Mytilus edulis: one gene and its partner. The protein of the gene in region 2 purifies or fractionates together with the protein of the main gene of each other region. This does not show direct contact. Links are inferred from orthologs where the notes say so. Each region holds a gene or a part of one and is shown on either strand. Other genes may lie near its edges.

Evidence for each region.
Region 1: the proteins of segment polarity protein dishevelled homolog DVL-3-like (region 2) and vang-like protein 2-B purify together in Drosophila melanogaster (affinity purification with western blotting; 3 studies listed by BioGRID). This does not show direct contact. The link is inferred for Mytilus edulis from reciprocal best matches to the Drosophila melanogaster genes dsh and Vang.

What each region holds. Positions count from the first base shown.
Region 1 is NC_092348.1:7,028,492-7,038,158, reverse strand, and holds the start of vang-like protein 2-B, read right to left. Parts: upstream 4,595-9,667; 5' UTR 4,250-4,594; intron 1-4,249. Other genes in the region: uncharacterized protein, read left to right, coding at 7,307-7,399, 8,730-8,867, 9,288-9,434.
Region 2 is NC_092356.1:40,905,469-40,914,933, forward strand, and holds the start of segment polarity protein dishevelled homolog DVL-3-like, read left to right. Parts: upstream 1-5,384; 5' UTR 5,385-5,490; coding exon 5,491-5,651; intron 5,652-7,105; coding exon of another isoform or gene 7,106-8,149; intron 8,150-9,465. Other genes in the region: uncharacterized protein, read left to right, coding at 7,106-8,149.

The DNA of each region.
Region 1 (9,667 bases), on a different chromosome or scaffold from region 2:
GAAAGATTTATATTTCATTAAATGTAAAATGTTAAATTCTCACAGGAAAAACTTTCTCTGAATTTTTCCCTTCCCCTCAGCTTTTCAATTTGTGAATTTATTCAGATGATTGCAAATAGGAAATACATATAATTATCCATTGTTATTTGTTATTTAGAAATAGGGAACATGTAATTACCACCCCAATCATATAAATGAATGACCACTTTATTCAGACATCTCAAATCTTCTTTTTAAACAAAATATCTATAACTGCCAAACATATACATTTTAAATACATTTTTTGGCAGCACAATATATTTCCTGTTAATGTGATCAACCTTACGGAATTAAAAACACCTTTAATGTAAATAAAACACATTATTCCAAATTAAATTCAATAATATTTGAACAAATGTTGAATATTGTGTTAAAGACTTACTTTATAATATGGGAGATTTAATTTAAAGTAGGTAGTATTACAAACTTTTACCCAACTTTTATATGGCCTGGTAGTTTAATAAAGATAGAATGATTATCCTTATGCTTAATTTGCAAAAAACTGAAGGCTATATTATCTGATGTCAACCATCATAAATGTGTACTGTATATCTATCTCACCATCCCTTCATAATTAACATAAATATTGTTGTTTTTATTGGAAACAAATATCAGTACAAGCACTTATGATGTTACCAAGGGAAGTCAAGATGCATGATGATTAAAAATTTATTTTTACTTTTTCATAATTTCAAAACTTTAAAAGAAATTCCAAACTACATGTCAAAGTTTACTTTTCATCAAAAATATTTATAAGTTTTTCAGTAATTTTACATCTAAATGTCTCTATAGGGAGTTTTGTTGTATTCTCATTTAAACAATTAACCAATCTTAAAACAATAAATTTAAATAATAGATTTTATATGTCCATACCAATTGTTTGCCTCCAGGAAATTACTTATTTATAAATGTTCCTGCAAAAGTGTAGGCTGAGAAATTAACATATAGATGTTAATGTACTCTCGATCTTTTCTGGCTGATGTGTTCTCGAAAATCCCACATTTGTGATTTTAAAGTAAATATATATATTGGTGTTATCAGTCATGAACACATTAACATTTCTATTGGTCAACTATTTTTCTACATTTGTCATAAAGAGAAGCTGATCAAGTTCAAACTATTACCTTTAAAGATGTAGTCTGACTGAAAAAGTTTATATCCTCATTTTTGTAAGATCCTTGCACTCTCTATACAGCAATTTAAATAATCTAAATTTGGTAATATAATCATGATTTGAGTATCAACAGATGTTTTTCTTCAATTAAGAAATCAAAAGACCCAAAGGTATGTGTCAAATCTAATAACAACAAAGGAACAGGTATGAATTTCACCCATTTATTGTAGTTAATTGAGATAAAACAATTACAAGGGCTATCAGATTAGGTAATTAAACCACCAACAGAAGGTCAATGAGTTCAAAGCTGTTTGGATTGGTTTATTTAATATGCTTCCCACCAACATAAAAAGATCATTTTACAACAAAAATGTCATTATTGTGATTTATTATAAATCTAAAGTACAGTGAATATGAAAATTTTAAATTTCTGTAATAAATCAATAAAATTATGACTTAAGAAAATGCCTGTATATATATATATTCAAACATATATGTCACATATGATACAATTAGAAAAGTGCTCATTTAGAGATTCAAGTACAAATATGACATTTTTGTTCCTTTGATATTTGCAGATTTCTAAAAATATGAAATTACCAAAGCAAGCAATTGCCAGTCTAAAATTTGTACATCATAAAACACAAACATTAAAATTTCAATTGACACACATGTTGAATTTTATGTACAAATGTACATGTTTTATACCTGTACAATTTCCAAATTCAGATTTGTTTATGAAGAGAAAGCACTTTGTCTATTACTTTTTATTTAGCCCTGTACGTATATACATGTTTTTTCTTTAATTTGAACAACTTATCAAGCACTGTCAAGACTGTTCATTTCTTATGGTGTGTTGCTAAATTTTAATTTGTTGACAACTCTGGGAAAAGTTTACACTATTCTTTAAAACATAGAAAAATTAGTAGATCTCAAATTTCATTTACAAAGTTATACATTATAAAACAATACTATCATAATATCTAAAAAAAAAAAAAAATTAATTATGAAAACTTAAAGACACTTTTCAACTTTTTTTTTACAAATATATACATGCATTAAATCTAAAAAAAAATTAAGGAGCCAAAATCGGTAATACATGTACCTCACTCCTTAAAGTGAGCACTGAATGTATGAATTATATTTTGTACATATCAAAAAGAAGTACACACTGTTCTCACAAAAACATGATTTATCGATACACTTGAACAGGGCTACACAGTATTGTTTTTCCTTGATGAAACAAAACCTCCCAATTTTGCATTTATATCTTCAACTTCCCAATTAATTTGAGCCAAAATTTTATATAGACAAAAACATGATGGGGTTAGTCTTAATATTATGTTTCAGATCCTAAGCAGCTTAATATGTCAACAAGCAATCATACCACATCTTCTTTTTTATAGTTGATACTTTCCAACGTATTATACTTATAAATATAACATTAACTTTGACATGTATGGTCACTGCTGTTACTGGTATATATGTATAAAGTAAATAACAAAGACAACAGTCATCAAGTTACAATAGATGACTGCACATTTCATTTATGATACATCTTTATGCAGATAAAAGTATGTTTAACAACATTTGTTCTGATTATCAAATTAAACCTGGAGTCGTTCATCTGGCACCTAGTGTGTATTAATAATATTGACTTAATCCAAGAAACAGATAAGTACAACTGTATGTACAGTTGTACTTAACCTTTAAGAACTCTTTCAGGGGTCAAAATGATCTCTAAATTGTATTAATTTAGGGGCTCAGAGCTTACCACAACAGAGAGTGGGATTACTACCCTAATTTTCAACTCCATTCTTGAAATTTTGTTTAAAAAAGTCTCTGTCCCCTTGATTTGCAGTTAAATACCTCATGATTATTTAATTTGATCCAAGTTTGATACATTTAGAGATAATATTGTTGCATTAATTACAGTCATAGTGGGTACTACTGATGGCACTTCCAGTCTTCACACTGAATGGCAGCCCAGGCTTGTAAAATTTCTCTCGGGCCTGTTAAAATCATATCTACAGGCCAATAGAATCTAATTAATTTTTTTCAAAAATTGAGCTCCGGGCCTCTAGATTTAACAGTTCATCGTGAAGACTGCACTTCAGGTGACAGAAGTCAAAATTTGATCATTTGAATTTTAATTTTTCATAAATGAAAAAAAAAAATCTATAAGAGGGGAGAAAGATATATATCAGAGGGACTATACCGTACCGTATGGGGTTTAAACTAAGGTTGGTCATGTAAATTATTTACTGAAACCCTCATACACTTTTAAATGGCCTTGTAAATCATTTCTGATATACATGTATGTTTACATGGCAATATTATTTCGACATGTTGTTGAATTTGCAAAACATAACAAAATAAATATTGTAATATGGGAATACTTATTTTTACCAGCTTTATTATAAAACTTAATTGAAGCAGATGTAAATGTTGTGGTGGTCAGAGAGAAGGGGTACATGTTTTTAGAAAATACTGTACATGCATGTACACCAATAACTGAGGGTCGTAATAAGGGTACCTTCATGACGAATAACAGTAAAAAATCTTGCAAAATGACGTTAACAGTTATTTTTGGTGAATGACGATAAAATGTAGACTTTCTTTCAGATGATAAAAACATTGACTGATATTGACGAATCAGATTATTTTTTTTTCAAAATTAACGGTAACGATAATCATTTGAGACGAATAATGAATCACTGTAAATTTTAAACCAATATGACGATAAACAGGTGCCAAAAATGACTTGACACTTGACGTCAAAGGGCATTACTACCCTCATAACTGCTTCATAAATGCATCTGAAAAATTATGTGGTATATATACATTTGTACATGTACTATTTATCTATTACTCAGCAACAAGCAGGACGATGTCGATGCTATAAACTACTTAATACGAGGGTGTTTTAATACATAGATATTTCTTTGTGTAGGATATACAGGAATAAAGACTAAAACGACCGCGAATAATATTAAGAATTATGTACAATTGAAATGTTGTTCGACTACCGGAGTACCGCCGGTGGTGAATCACTTGAGATTCCTTGTAAGCTGAGGAGCTTCAAACTTTACTTACCAAAACTTCTACATAAATCTGTGACAATTAATGGAAACCTTAATCCACAATCCCATTTGCCTTAATGTCAAAGCATTGGATATTTCAATTCAAAATTTCGCTTTGTTTTCTAATGAACTATTCAAATTTCAGGAGACCATTTTGCTTTTGAATTTGCTATTGTGTAACCCACCCGCCAAAACTTGGAACAAAATAAAACGTATTCGTTAGAAAATAACTCCAAAAAAAAGTAACCACCTGTAAAACAACTAAACGAGAAAATTATAGTGCAGCAAAAGGATGAATAAAATTAAAGAATGAACTGAAAATGTGAAATAATGATTTAAATATGTGTGGGAGGTCAACAGAAGAGCTACATATCCGGTTAAATGGGACTTCCGGTGCATCTTTAAGCTGTCTGTGTACACCAAGGGCTACAAGTTTTTAGCTGTTTAGAGAAGGCCGAACAGAATATCCAGACATCAAAGTTAAAGGTATTAAAAGAATTTAATGAGAAGAAATAAAAATCGATCTATTTAAGCGTTGTCACATAGTCATAGTCATAAAATGTCCACCTGAATATAGGAAAAGGGGGGGGGGGGGGGATTTTGGTTTGTAAACCCCCCCATTGACAGAAACAAGTGCATGTGGGTTGAGGGGAAGACACCATCACCATTGTTCTCTCTGGACGACATGATTAAATTTTATATCAAAACGATATATGTCATACATCAGAGCAACAACCTTTTAAAATAAATTTATTACTAAGAATATTATAGACCAACAAGTCTGTTACAACAAACGAGCATTCATAGTTCCAAATAGCCAGACTGAATAGTTCAAAAACTCCACATTTGTACCCGGAGGACACATTAGTGTGTGTCACTTTAACTGAGGAGTTTCAAACAGCACTACTCAGCAAGCACGATTAAATCGTGCGCACAACAGCCCATCACACAATAGCTGGAAGGAATCTGTGATGCACTTAACCATATACAGAGGTGGAAAATACAGATGCATAGTGTACAAACTAATGATAAACTGACATTACAATACAACACATGCAATAAGTTACAACCCTTCATGAACTTCTTCCTTTGTATATCTGTATTCAAAAAAGGATAATGACATTGAAACAAGAAGTTATGCATAAAACTTTTCAAGGAGTCTGGAGAAAAGTCTAAACCTTTGTAAACAGGTCAAACAAAGAATTTGTATTACTTTTGATTTGTGTTTTAAAAAAAAGTTGATCATAATCTATTAAAGTTTCAAAATATTTGCTTTCTAAACTACATGTATGCTTTCCTTTAAAAGCTCATTACTGGTGACCTTTGTTTTTGAAACACTTGACCCAAATATAAAGTTGTTGAAGACTGAAATGACTGTTTTTTTCCCCAGATTGGACTAAATAGCAATACAAATAAAGTACCGCAAGCAATACTGGTGTCATCACCTTGTTTATAATAATTATGTCCTTAGCTTCCAGTGATCGGGAAGGACGTGCGCCCTGCGCCTATAGCGCATATTGACCAGAAATGGCGCATAGAGTGACAAATGTAAGGGCCCACGTGGCGCACAATATTTTTCACATCGTTTCGAAAAGTTTAGATATCGTCAAATGGATTTCATATCGTTTTCCGTGCCGCCATGTGTGTGTTTACAACTGTATAATGTTCCTCCAATCATTGGAGCACCAATATATTTTTGGGACGTCCCGGGTGTTTTCCTATGGTAATAGAACCATGCGGTTTTAAGTCTCGGGTGTTTTTCTATGGTAATAATAGAACCATGCGGTCTAAATGATAACCCAAAAAACGTAATTAACCATCATTCATGATATAACTTTTTATAAACAACTTTAAATTTATGAAATTTGGCTATTACAGACGAGATGTAACTCTAATCTTTTAATTTAGTTTAGCTTGCTATTATTTCGATTGAAAAAAACCCAAGTCTTTTTATGAATATAGTTTTTGTCTCCATAAAAGGCGCTTAACTGTCCTTGTCATTTTTTTGGTCTTTGGCTCGTTTTGACATTTTGTAAACATGACCTCAGCAAATAATTGTTTTGTTCTAACAATAATGGTACTCTCTGCTGTTAATCTTGTCAACGTGATGAAGTAATAATAATAATACAAGAAGTGCCTGAAATGTTCTCTAATACGGAACGTCTGCAATAAGTATGGTATCGACGAAGACCCAAATTTAATGTTAAAAATAAACAACCATGAACATGAACAAGCCAAGGCAACAGTACCAGTTTAAACTTTGTAATTTACAGATTATCTTTAATATTGTCTGTTTTGGAAGAAGTTATTGTATATTCTATTTCATTGAAATTACCGAATCACAGGAACAATATCCATGATATTATTTAAAATAATCAAGGTAAGTACCAACACCTCTTTGCCAAAAAATAATGATAATTTTTATTTTTTTACAGAAGTCAATTCAAATGGCCCAACCATTTGACAACATGGCCCATTATCTTTAAAAATGGCCCATTGAATTTATTTTTGAGGGGCCCTGGGCCCATAGTGAAAAAAACCTTCCAGATCACTGAGCTTCTCATCCCAGTCAAAACAGAAAAAAAGTATTGTCCTATGCAGGATTTTTCTTTACTTTGAATGAATTTTGAATTATTTTCATTTTGTTGTTTTCAAAACAGTCGTACACCCACTTGAAGGATTTTTTGAATGTTTTTAATTGGACATGAATAAAGAGGGGTGAAAGATACCAGATGGACATTCAAAAACATGATTTAAAGGGATAAATGTAAGTGAGATAGTAACTCAAAATTAAATTAGAGTAAGCATCCTAACAATTTATTGTCTTTACCATACATACAAATTAAACCCTAAATGGATAGAAAATGGACATTTTGTTGTAAGACTTTATGTTTCAGTTAATATTATAATACTACATATATGACATAAGACTACAATACATAAGAGTCTAAAAAAAAAAAAAATTCAACAAAACTTTGGTACAGAATTATTTTATATAATTTATAAAAGGATAGGATTTACAGGCTTTATTTATAATTGAAATTATTCATGTTTTCTTTTTCACAGGAAAATGTCACCACCAGAGCCCAAAGAATTCCTACCTGGAGTACCAGATTGGAGCACAGTACATGAACCATCTGGAGATCTGTTTAAGCCTATTACAGTGAGTGTTAATGCAACTAATAATATTTTAATGATTATTGTCTTGTCACAAGTTGTGTACTATTATTTGTCTGTTTGTCTTTCTCATTTTTATCCATGGCATTGTCAGTTTATTTTCAATCTATGATTTTGAATGTCCCTCTGGTATCTTTCGCTCCTTTTCTATCTCTACCTGAATCCTGTTTATAAGATGTTTTCAAACATAAACCTAGTTTTAAAGATGGACAGCGATTAAAATTTATTCACACAATGTCATTTTCACATGAAATCAACAATGTAAGTCTTAGTTAACTTAACATATAAATTATGTGGGATATGCTCAGAATTATCCAAGATACTGGAACAACAGACATTTGTGCATGTGCTTGTTATGTTACAAATAAAGGATAAAACAGTCAGTCACTGCTAAATTGACAACAACATTTAGTGTTACTGAACACATTTGAAGTGTATAAAGTCTACAATTTAATTTCTTCTACTCTTTTGACAACCCTGCATACCATCAGTATCCATTTAAGGGGGCTCGCGGGTCTAAATCAATTTTTTTATTTAATATAGGATTTCGCTATATTTTTCTATAAAAGAACTTTATTCTATTCTTAATAGAAAAAATAAATAAAAAAATGGGGTCACCGTTCATTTACGCTCACAATCTGGCTTCGAAAGAAGCATACATTTTTGTTAATGTCCTTTTTTTCTGTTGAACTAATAGGAGAAAAAGCGGTAATATCGAAATAAAAAAAGAACTAAATTACAGAAATCGTTTAAATTTTACAATTATTTAGTTTATGTACAGCTAATTCGAAAACAACAATAAAAAATATAGGTCACCGATGAGTTAAAAAAGATATTTCAATTTAAATGCCAAAAAATGGCATTTTTGCACCAAAGGGAGATAATTTGGAGCTTTTTCAATGATATCTACAATTTAAATGTCACCTGGGACCAACACGAATTGAGTTTTTGGAATGATTTTTGTACCATATGATAAAGAAACAACTACTAAAGGTAATTAATAAAATTTGTAATGAAAAATAAATGTTAAATTTTTTTCTGAAAATTTTATATCCGCGAGCCTCCTTAAGAAATCTCTACCTTCACCAAACTTTAGAGGCATTGGTTCAGCAGTCCGCCATTTACTCTAAATGAAGTATGAGGTTTTTAGAAAGATTGAAATAAAAAAAAACTTACAAGAATAAGAATGGAAAGTTACAGAAGTTTAAAATACATATTTCTCTTTTCTTTGACTGCATACTATTTATTATATATACTAGTAATTTAATTACAAGAAAGAAAATTTTAAAACTTATGCTGACTGCTTTTTTCCCCAGGATAAAGACGATTGGAGTAAATTGATGTGGACAGAAGAACAAACTAATCAATTTTGGACAGATGGTGTAGTAACAAACATACCACTTCTATCAGAGGAACAATGCAATAGAATTATAAATGATTATAAATACTTCACAGTAAGTATGAAAGGTGTAATCAATTATTGCCTTATTTGGAGGTATTCAAGTAACAAATGAAAACATCAATGTAATTAATTACACAATCTTTTTCTGTCTAAGTAAATATGAATATTAACATAAGAAAGCAGAAATATATTTATGAATTTAAATACTCGAAACAAATAAAAACACTTTAACATATCACAAAATTTCTTGCACAGTAGATAATGTCATGAATGTAGTACCAACACATGTAGACAAAGAGAACTTGAAAGACACATTTTTAATGTTAAAAAAAACAATTTAATTTTATTAGATATTTGATTCAATATTATATGATTGAACAGGAACTTAGACTGGGTTTGTATTCATTTTATTACACAATTAAAAGATGTGTGTATATTGTAGGGTATCAGACATATCATATGTTTATTTCAGGGTGAAGTAGAGCATCCTGGAATGGATATGATGTATGAGTACCATTCTAACCAGAGTGGGGATCCTAACAATGTTCTCATACATTGTCTTGGACATTGGAGATTGACATCATTATTTCATGACTTGCCATTTCTTCCTCAAATTGTGGTGAGTGGTCATTTTTGGCAAACTCTGTTGTTATGCCAACAATATTTACTTGATTTATGCTACAGTTTTTAGCTTATAACATACAAAATTTCACCTAATCCTTAGATTTGTTTTAACTGAGCTAATTTTCCAGTCTTCTCATATAGTATATCATGTATAATTTACAAGGAAGGACAGTAATACTTGTAAATAAAAATTGAAAGAACTTAAAAGATTAAAAAAAGACAACAAAA
Region 2 (9,465 bases):
TTATATGATCAACTAGAAATATATATACAAATCAAAAGGGATGTTACATTAATATATTCACCAAAGTTTCATAAAATCCCCCTTTTTTAAGTATAACAAGAATGTGTCCTCAGTACACAAATGCCCCACTCGCACTATCATTTTACATGTTCAGTGGACCGTGAAATTGGGATAAAAACTCTAATTTGGCATTAAAATTAGAAAGATCATATCATAGGGAACATGTGTACAAAGTTTGAAGTCAATTGGACTTCAACTTCATCAAAAACTACCTTGACCAAAAACTTTAACCTGGAGCGGGACAGATGGACGGACGAACAGACGGACGAACGAACGGACGCACGGACGAACAGACCAGAAAACATAATGCCCCTCTACTATCGTATGTGGGGCATAAAAATTCATTACTTAAGAAAACATAAAATCTAAAATTTATAAAAATGGAAAGGCAGCTTATGTCAATAGATATAAACAATTTATCAAAGTTGCATAAAATTTTGTGAAAGTGTTAGTTATTGTCCCAAAATTGGAAAATCCCCCCTTTTTTTAGCATAAAAATTCATAACACGGAAATGTAAAATCTGAAATTTAAAAAAAATTGAAAGAGAGCCTACATCAATAGATATAAACAATTCACCAAAGTTTCATGGACATTGGTGAAAGCCTTTTTGAGTTATTGTCCAAAGTGTTGAAAATCCCCCTTTTTTTAATGAATAAAGCCCCATAAATCCAAAACTTAAAATCTGAAATTTATAAAAATTGAAAGGGAGCTTACATCAATAGATATAAACAATTCACCAAAGTTTCATGGACATTGGTGAAAGCCTTTTTGAGTTATTGTCCAAAGTGTTGAAAATCCCCCTTTTTTTATGAATAAAGCCCCATAAATCCAAAACTTAAAATCTGAAATTTATAAAAATTGAAAGGGAGCTTACATCAATAGATATAAGCAATTCACCAAAGTTTCATGGACATTGGTGAAAGCCTTTTTGAGTTATTGTCCGAAGTGTTGAAAATCCCCCTTTTTTTATGAATAAAGCCCCATAAATCCAAAACTTAAAATCTGAAATTTATAAAAATTGAAAGGGAGCTTACATCAATAGATATAAACAATTCACCAAAGTTTCATGGACATTGGTGAAAGCCTTTTTGAGTTATTGTCCGAAGTGTTGAAAATCCCCCTTTTTTATGAATAAAGCTCCATAAATGCAAAACTTAAAATCTGAAATTTATAAAAATTGAAAGGGAGCTTACATCAATAATTATAAACAATTCACCAAAGTTTCATGGACATTGGTGAAAGCCTTTTTGAGTTATTGTCCGAAGTGTTGAAAATCCCCCCTTTTTTATAAATAAAGCCCCATAAATCCAAAAATTATAACCTGAAATTAAAAAAAAACGAAAGGGAGCTTACGTCAATAGATATCAACAATTCACTTAAATTTCATGGAAATTGGTGAAAGTGTTTTTGAGTTATTGTCCGTAGTGTGGACGATGGACGGACGGACAGACGGACAACGGTATACCATAATACGTCCCGTCTAAAAGACGATGGGCGCATAAAAACATCAAAATTTCCTTAAAATTACCAATTCAGGGGCAGCAACCTAACAACGGGTTGTCCGATTCATCTGAAAATTTCAGGGCAGATAGATCTTGACCTGATAAACAATTTTACCCCTTGTCAGATTTGCTCTAAATGCTTTGGTTTTTGAGTTATGAGCTAAAAACTGCATTTTACCCCTATGTTCTATTTTTAGCCATGGCAGCAGGGCTTTCCATTGAAGCCGGTAGCCGGCGGAAATCCGCCGTTTGCGGTGGCTTCAAGTGCCGGCTACTTCACTGACAAAAATATAAATTCAAAAAGAAAATAATATCTTTTTCAAATGTTTACAGGCAGCCGAGAGACGTATTTTCGCAAAGTCGCGGTCACGATAAACAAGGATGAAAAGTCAGTGTTTACCTTGGGCTAAATATAGTTCACATGAATTCAGGTCACTGATTGGTTGTCTGTTTAAAGTCAGAATGCATCGTTTCTTTTCAAAGATAACAAGAGAGACGTTCCGGTGGTCATTGAATGATAACAATAGAGACGTTCCGAGGGTCAATAACTCGTTGGCTTTTTTACTTTTAAAACGTGAAGACAATCAGATAGGATGACAATCTTATGTTATGGAATAATATCAGTCAAATTAAAGAAAGTGTAGTAGATCATAATGTTCAGAATCTTGAAAACAGTATCTTTTGAAGTTCATTTTTCAAGGCCCACGTGGTGTTCAGAGAATCAAGGTCAAAAACGAAAGTAGAATATTGTCGACTCGACCTCAAATAAATAACATTTCCAAATAATTTATGTATCCGACTTATTGAACAGTTTAAAAGAGAAAATCAGAGGATATATCAATTTTCTGTCAATGCTTGAAAAATAATTGTATGATTTTAGTTACGCGTACCAGTCTTTAGAGAGAAAAGGGGGGTCATTTGTTTACAAATGCACGTAGTTCTGCAAAATAAATCGATGAAGATTTTTAACAAACCGGATTATTATATAAATAAATCTCTTTTAAAAGTAAATGAATTTTAAGCATAAATAAATGAAAATAAAAAACTATAACATAAAAAAAAAAAGTCTTTGAGATTTTTTTTTTCTTTAATTTCATACATAAAAAATGGTCATTTGAAAGATGAAATTAGGTGCCAGGAGATTGCGAGAATGCAGGATTTTGCTCTATTTATGGCAGAGCTTCTGGGGGCCTTGAGCGGCCCCCAGACCCCCTGCCGTAAGGCACCAAGCTTACAGCTTGGTGGACGTCCGGCTTCGCCGAACGCATGTTACAGCCGCCTATAATTTTAATTCAGCCTTCTACTTCAATTTCAATGGAAAGCCCTGATGGCGGCCATGTTTTTTGATGAAATGGGAATTAAAACACAAACTTTATTCTAGATACCCTAGGAATCAATCAGATGAAGTTTGGTTTGAATTGGTTCAGTAGTTTCAGAGGAGAAGATCTTTGAAATAGTTTACGACGACGACGGACAAACGACAACGGACGCCAAGTAATGGCAAAAGCTCACATTTCCTTTTGGAAAGGTGAGCTAAAAAACAATTTCTTTAGGTAAAAACCATGATTAACATATAAATCGGTGAAGACGAATTTGACAGCTAATTCTCCTTTAAGGGAGTCCATATGGGTTCAGTAAACAGGATTTTTTATGCCATACACCAACAGGAAATCCTGAATGATACACCATTCAGTGTGTAAAGAAAGTGGAAACAGTTTCTGGGATCTTTAGCAAATTAAAGGGGCACTAGCTACGAGATATATACAAAATCTAAAATTTGATTTTTTTTTTTGTTCAATCAATAATGAAAGTGAAATAGTGAAATAACAATTCGCTTTTGCAGCCAAAAAGGTTCAATTTTGTCAAATTACGCTAAGAAACATTGATAATTAGTTATTCACTTGCAAGTGAATGAGTCAACCTCTTAAAACCCGTATTCATGTGAACTTCAATTTAACCCCTAGCTAGAGATAGACAACGCATGCATTGTACGTGTACTGGTTATTTAAAGAAAAGGAATGACAACAATGAAAGTGAAACTACGGTAAAACATTTGATTACTAATCGATGCACATAAAATCATTCTTATACTGTTAAAAACAATGAGAAACATCTATTTTTAATCTATAAAATATAATCAAACAGACCTATAAAGCTCCAATTGCACGTGTTGGTTTAATCTATTCATATCTTTATTTATGTTTACATCGCTTTTATGGTCATCTGAAGTCAAATAGATAGTTAATTGGATGGCGTCTGGACTAAAAAACAAACGAAACGAACCTATATATTATCTACCCCATGCTCTGTAAACTGTTTATTTTAGACGTTTGATAGTTAGGATTAATCACGATTAATGTTTTACATTGTTATAAATCAAATATGAGAATTTGAATCAAATCGGTGTTCATGAATTTGACAGCTAGTGCCCCTTTAACATGTACATCATTGCAACATGTACTATAATGTCTTTCAATAGTAATCAATCATTTCAGATTTTGAGATATACCTTTGCCTTCAACTCTAGTTCTGCATTTTAAATTTTGTCTGCCAGTTGGCAGTATTTTTTTTCTAAATTACTTCAATATAAATTTCCCATATTTTACCCATTAATTCAATCTACTATAGAAGCAGTATCATGAACTTATCAGTGCTTATTGATTATGAAATTAAAGTGGTGTTTAACAGGTCTCTTAAATTATAAAATGTACATGGATATATTTGGCAACAAATTATTTTTAGCTTGGAGATATTTTTTAAAGACTATACCTCAAAGTATTTCCAACAAATTTCTGTATCATTCAACATAATTTCAAATACATGTATATTTACACATCCTTCATGAACCATTTAGAAAAGGGACACTTATGTTAGTTCATAAGGGTCACAGTCACAATCATGTTATATGGATTTCATTGAAAATGGACACTGTAAAAATGCAGACTTTCATGATGTCAATTTACAGAGAAATAGATTAAACTGGCGCTAATGATTGGTTGTTGTCATAAAACGTTGTAATGAATTTAAGTTGTGGTTTCCGCATTCCTTACACCAAGTCTGGCCATGTTCGTGTCGACCTTAACATTTACAATTCAAATTTGGGACCACAGGTACCGAGAGGGCTTGACACTTTTACAATGGGCCAGATATATCAATCTTAACTGCGCTTTTCAGACTCCCAAAATTACCAACTTGTTGATTTAATACATCGTGATGCTGAAAATTCTGAATATGTTGCTGGCGGAAGTGCTTCCTTCGAAAATCCGCAGTGAATAAATGTTGACAAATAAAAATTGAAAAAAAATAAAATAAAGAAATATTTCTTTAGAAAATTCTCATCTAGTCACATGCCAATAAAATATTAAGAAACAAGTGTCTCAAAATGAATCTGTCTTAATCTCAAACTTTTTATTCTTATTTTACCAAAATTTTGCCATGTTTTGTTGAATAAAAAGGATGATTCATCATGTCTCATGAAATTCATTGGATTAATAATCTGTTAGACATTTGCAATTGTGGCTATTTCTATATATTTTGTTAATATTCATTTATTTAATGTACAATATTTTATCTGATGCTTTTTTCGGGCACTTGTTTTTGAGAAATTTAAGAGAACCATTTGAATGTCAATTACTAAATCCGAAACAAAGCAAAAGTCAAAAGAAATAGTTCTGTATGCGAAAATAGAGAAAATCATTACAATTTACCAATGGATAATTTCTTGATTTTAATAAAACTATCGATTTTTTTCTTATCAAGTGATGTGAAAGTTTAAGATATTTAATTTTCATTTTCGGAAACGAAAATTAACTGATTGACATACGGGTTTCAATTTGGCACTGAACAGAAGAAAACATTTGGACGCCATTTTCCACAGAAACTTGATAATCATTGTGGATTTAACAACATCAGACATCCTCCTTCGGGATGGAGGAGACCAAAATCATCTATTATATAGATGACGAAGACACTCCTTATTTAATCAAACTACCTATTCCCGCTGATCGTGTAAATCTTGGTGATTTTAAGAACGCTTTAAACAGACCAAATTACAAATTTTTCTTCAAATCGGTGGATGATGACTTCGGGTAAGTTAAAGCCAGTTGCACACCATGAAAGATCTAGGTGCCCGCAATAATGTTTAATTCAGATTTTCAGAGTATTAGTTAATACTGTCACTTTTGCAGTACGAGAAAAACAACCAGTAGACTACTGGTAAAAAAATATAATTTACAAATAACATAATTTCATTGTATTGCATTAATATACACCTTATCGTGTATTGCATTAATATACACCTTATCGCTATTTGTCTGCCATTACTGGATATCACACAGGTTCACGTAAAATTTTGACTTCATAAAACAAGATATCCGATGCCACAATGGAAAAGTGATTGTTGTTGACGTCAAAAGTTCAAGCGGCCGGGTCAGCCGGGGTTGGCGATAAGGTCAACGGAAAAAAAGTCACAGGAAAAAAAGTCACAAAACCTCTAGGAAAAAAAGTCACAGGAAAAAAAGTCTCAAGAAAAAAAGTCACAGGAAAAAAAGTCACAATTATAAAATTATTTGAAAGAAGTATATAAAATGTTTTATAAGAAGTATGTTGGAATGCACATGACAAAAGTGATTTTGTATATCAGCTGTATGAAATAGATAATTTAAAAAAATGTAGTTTTGTTAAATAAAAATAATACTACTAGTAAAAGTGTATCAGATCAATTATTTTTAAATAAAAGCTTTTAAAATTTATATAGGTAAAGCGCACATCGATATTAACAGATTTCGTTTTATTTATGGGTTAATAAAATAAAAAAATATATGTTTTTCATCATTTTTTTTTTTAATAAATACACCAAAAAAATGAAAAGTGTATTATAATTTATGTTCTCTTTTTAAAACCAAACTCTTAAACAAACAGGATAAGCCATTTGTTTCCTTTTCATTCATGATAAGCCCTAGTTGTTTTTCATGGGTAGGGCTTCCTTCCAAAAGAGGAAGTGAAAGGTCTGCAAAAAAGGGAAAGGTGCCACAAGAAGCCACTAATTAATCTCAACAGTCACTGTCAATAAATGTTGTAATTACATAATTATTGTTAATGGGGATGCTTTGTTTGTTTAACATGTAATTGAAGGATTCTCATGAAATTGGTAAAAACACAGCTATAGAAAAACAAAAATCACAATAACATGTGGTCAAACCATATCATAGACTTTCTAACTTTGACTCAAATTAAAGAAAATGTATGACTTCATTTACTTTTCTATAAAAGAAAAAAATAATTTCAAGTGTTATTAAATCAAGTATGGAAGTCATCAAGAGCAACAAAGGTGGTTCCAAACTTTGCTACCAGGGGTACATGTACACTATTAAAGCATACTACCAGAAAGACAGTACAGTGGTGGAAATGTGTGAAGCGATCCAGCACTGCATGTAAAGGGTCCATTACAACTTCTCTGCAGAATGAAAATCCAACTCCTGGCCAGCCACACAACCATGATCCAAGTGATATTAGCATAAAGTACACTAAGTCCAGGTACGCAATGAAAGAGCAGGCTGCTCTCACCAGAGACAAACCAAGCCAGATCTTCGCCCAGGTTGTTTCAACATGTGAAGATGATGTGCAAGCAATGATGCCCAGAGAAGAGAATTGTAAACGCACCATGCGCAACCAGCGTCCAACACCACCTGTTCCCCAGAGCTTTGTAGATGTCACACTGCCAGCAGAATTCACTATTACAACCAACCACCAACAGTTCCTACTGTATGACAATGGACAGAATGCTGAGAACAGAATGTTGGTCTTTTGTAGTCCTGACAGTTTAAGACGTCTTTTTAAACAGCTGTACACCATCCGAGTACCTTTTAAAGATGTTACAGTCACCACAGTGTATGCTTTCTTGCCGAACAAGAATCAAGATACATACAGAGAGTTATTTCAGTCATTGGTCGACAAATGCCAAGCCAGCCACCTACAGTTAAATGTTCAGACTGTGGTAACAGACTTCGAAGATGGCGTTCTACGTGCAGTGTCGGCAGTATTTGGCCGCCATATCAACAACCAGGGATGTTTCTATCATCTTACACAAGCAACTTGGAGAAAGATACAGAGCCTTGGTTTGGTTCCCCACTACAAGATTAGCGATGACTTCCGCTTGTTCTGTGGTATGATGGACGGCCTTGCCTTTCTGCCTGTAGCTGATTTGCCAAATGGTGTCCACCTGCTAAGAACTTTGTGTCCAGATGACCCACCAGAAGCAGCTGAACTTCTTGATTACTTTGATGCAACCTATGTAAGTGGCAACATGAGACGTAACCCAGCACCAGGTCAAGGTCTCCGTTTAGTAATGCGCCGCACTCCACCCATGTTCCCACCAACTATATGGAATGTCCATGACGCAACAGTCAACGGTGATTCAAGAACCAACAATGTATGTGAAGGTTGGAACAACAAATTCTTCAACTTAGTAGGTTATGCCCACCCATCAATATGGAGAGTAGTAGAATGGTGCCAGAAAGAAGAAGCTACAGTGAGAACCTTGATACAACAAGACGCTGTAGGTGTGAGCCAAAATTTGTTCCTGTGAAAAAAGTTCCAGTGGAACTAATTTCACAGGAAATATGTTCTGGGAGAACTTTTTTCACAGACAATTTCTATATAATTTGTTCCATCTCTATGAAATAAGTTCCACACTTTACTTGGTGAAATAAGTTCTGGGTTGGTGAAATTTGTTCCTTACCTAGTGAAATAAGTTCCATGTTTGTGAGATTTGTTCCTCACCTGGTGAAATAAGTTCTTGATTTGTGAAATTTGTTCCTCACCTGGTGAAATAAGTTCCTTGTCTGTGAAATATGTTCCACTGGTTAAACAAGTTTTCCTATATACTGAGCACTTGTCATTATAAAATACATGTATTATATTGATAATGTAATAAATAAAAAGTGTAAGCATCCAATTGGATCATGTGGAGTAAAGCAAAAGTTTAATAACATGGCAGCTCAAGTAATAATACTAAAAATGGCACTTATGAGCCAGGAAAGAGTAGAATAAGAAATAATAATAAAAGTCATTCCGAAAAAAGTATTATAGTTGAAGATGAATATTTGTACTTTTTTGAAAAGCACAAAGTGGCTGATCAATTATATTAAAAGACATAAAGAAACAAAATACACGCTCTTTAAAAACTGTGCAATGACCATAGCTAAGTACATGTAGGATTAGAACACCCATGACAGATCATCAGGAAACATGGAGGTTGAATACCACATAAACGATCAAACATAGATACATTATCATCGCTTTTATTTCTTATCTTCATGCTAAAGTCATTCCTTCAATTGCAAATGTACCCCATGCAAGCACAGAACTTATTTTCTGTGAAATAGGTTTGAGCAGAACATTTTCATTGATTTCTATAAAATACCTACGTTTAAAACTAATATCCCAAGAACTTATTTCACTTTTTTTTTTAAATTTTAATATTGGAACAAAATTGATGGTGCTGTGATTTTTGTTCCAGAACCTATTTCACACTTGGTTAAAAAATTAGTTCCGGAACAAATTTTATAGTGCTGGAACATATTTTCTGTGACATAAGTTCCAGTGGAACTTATTTCCTATGAAATTTGTTCTGATGGAACAAATGTCACGCCGGAACAAATTTTTTGTTACATAGGCACCCCACCAGTTAAACGGGTCCAACAACGTTATGTCCAACTTCAACTAAGACTTCAAAACTTGTGCAGAGACTTGACATCAGGCAACAAGACCATTGCAGAATTTCTCAGGGGTGTTGGTTGGAACATAAGACTTAACCATTAGTTGTCATCTCTGCTATATATCAAGTGAACTTTAAGTAAAACTATGTGCATCACATGTTCATTATCTGTTGTTCATTGATAA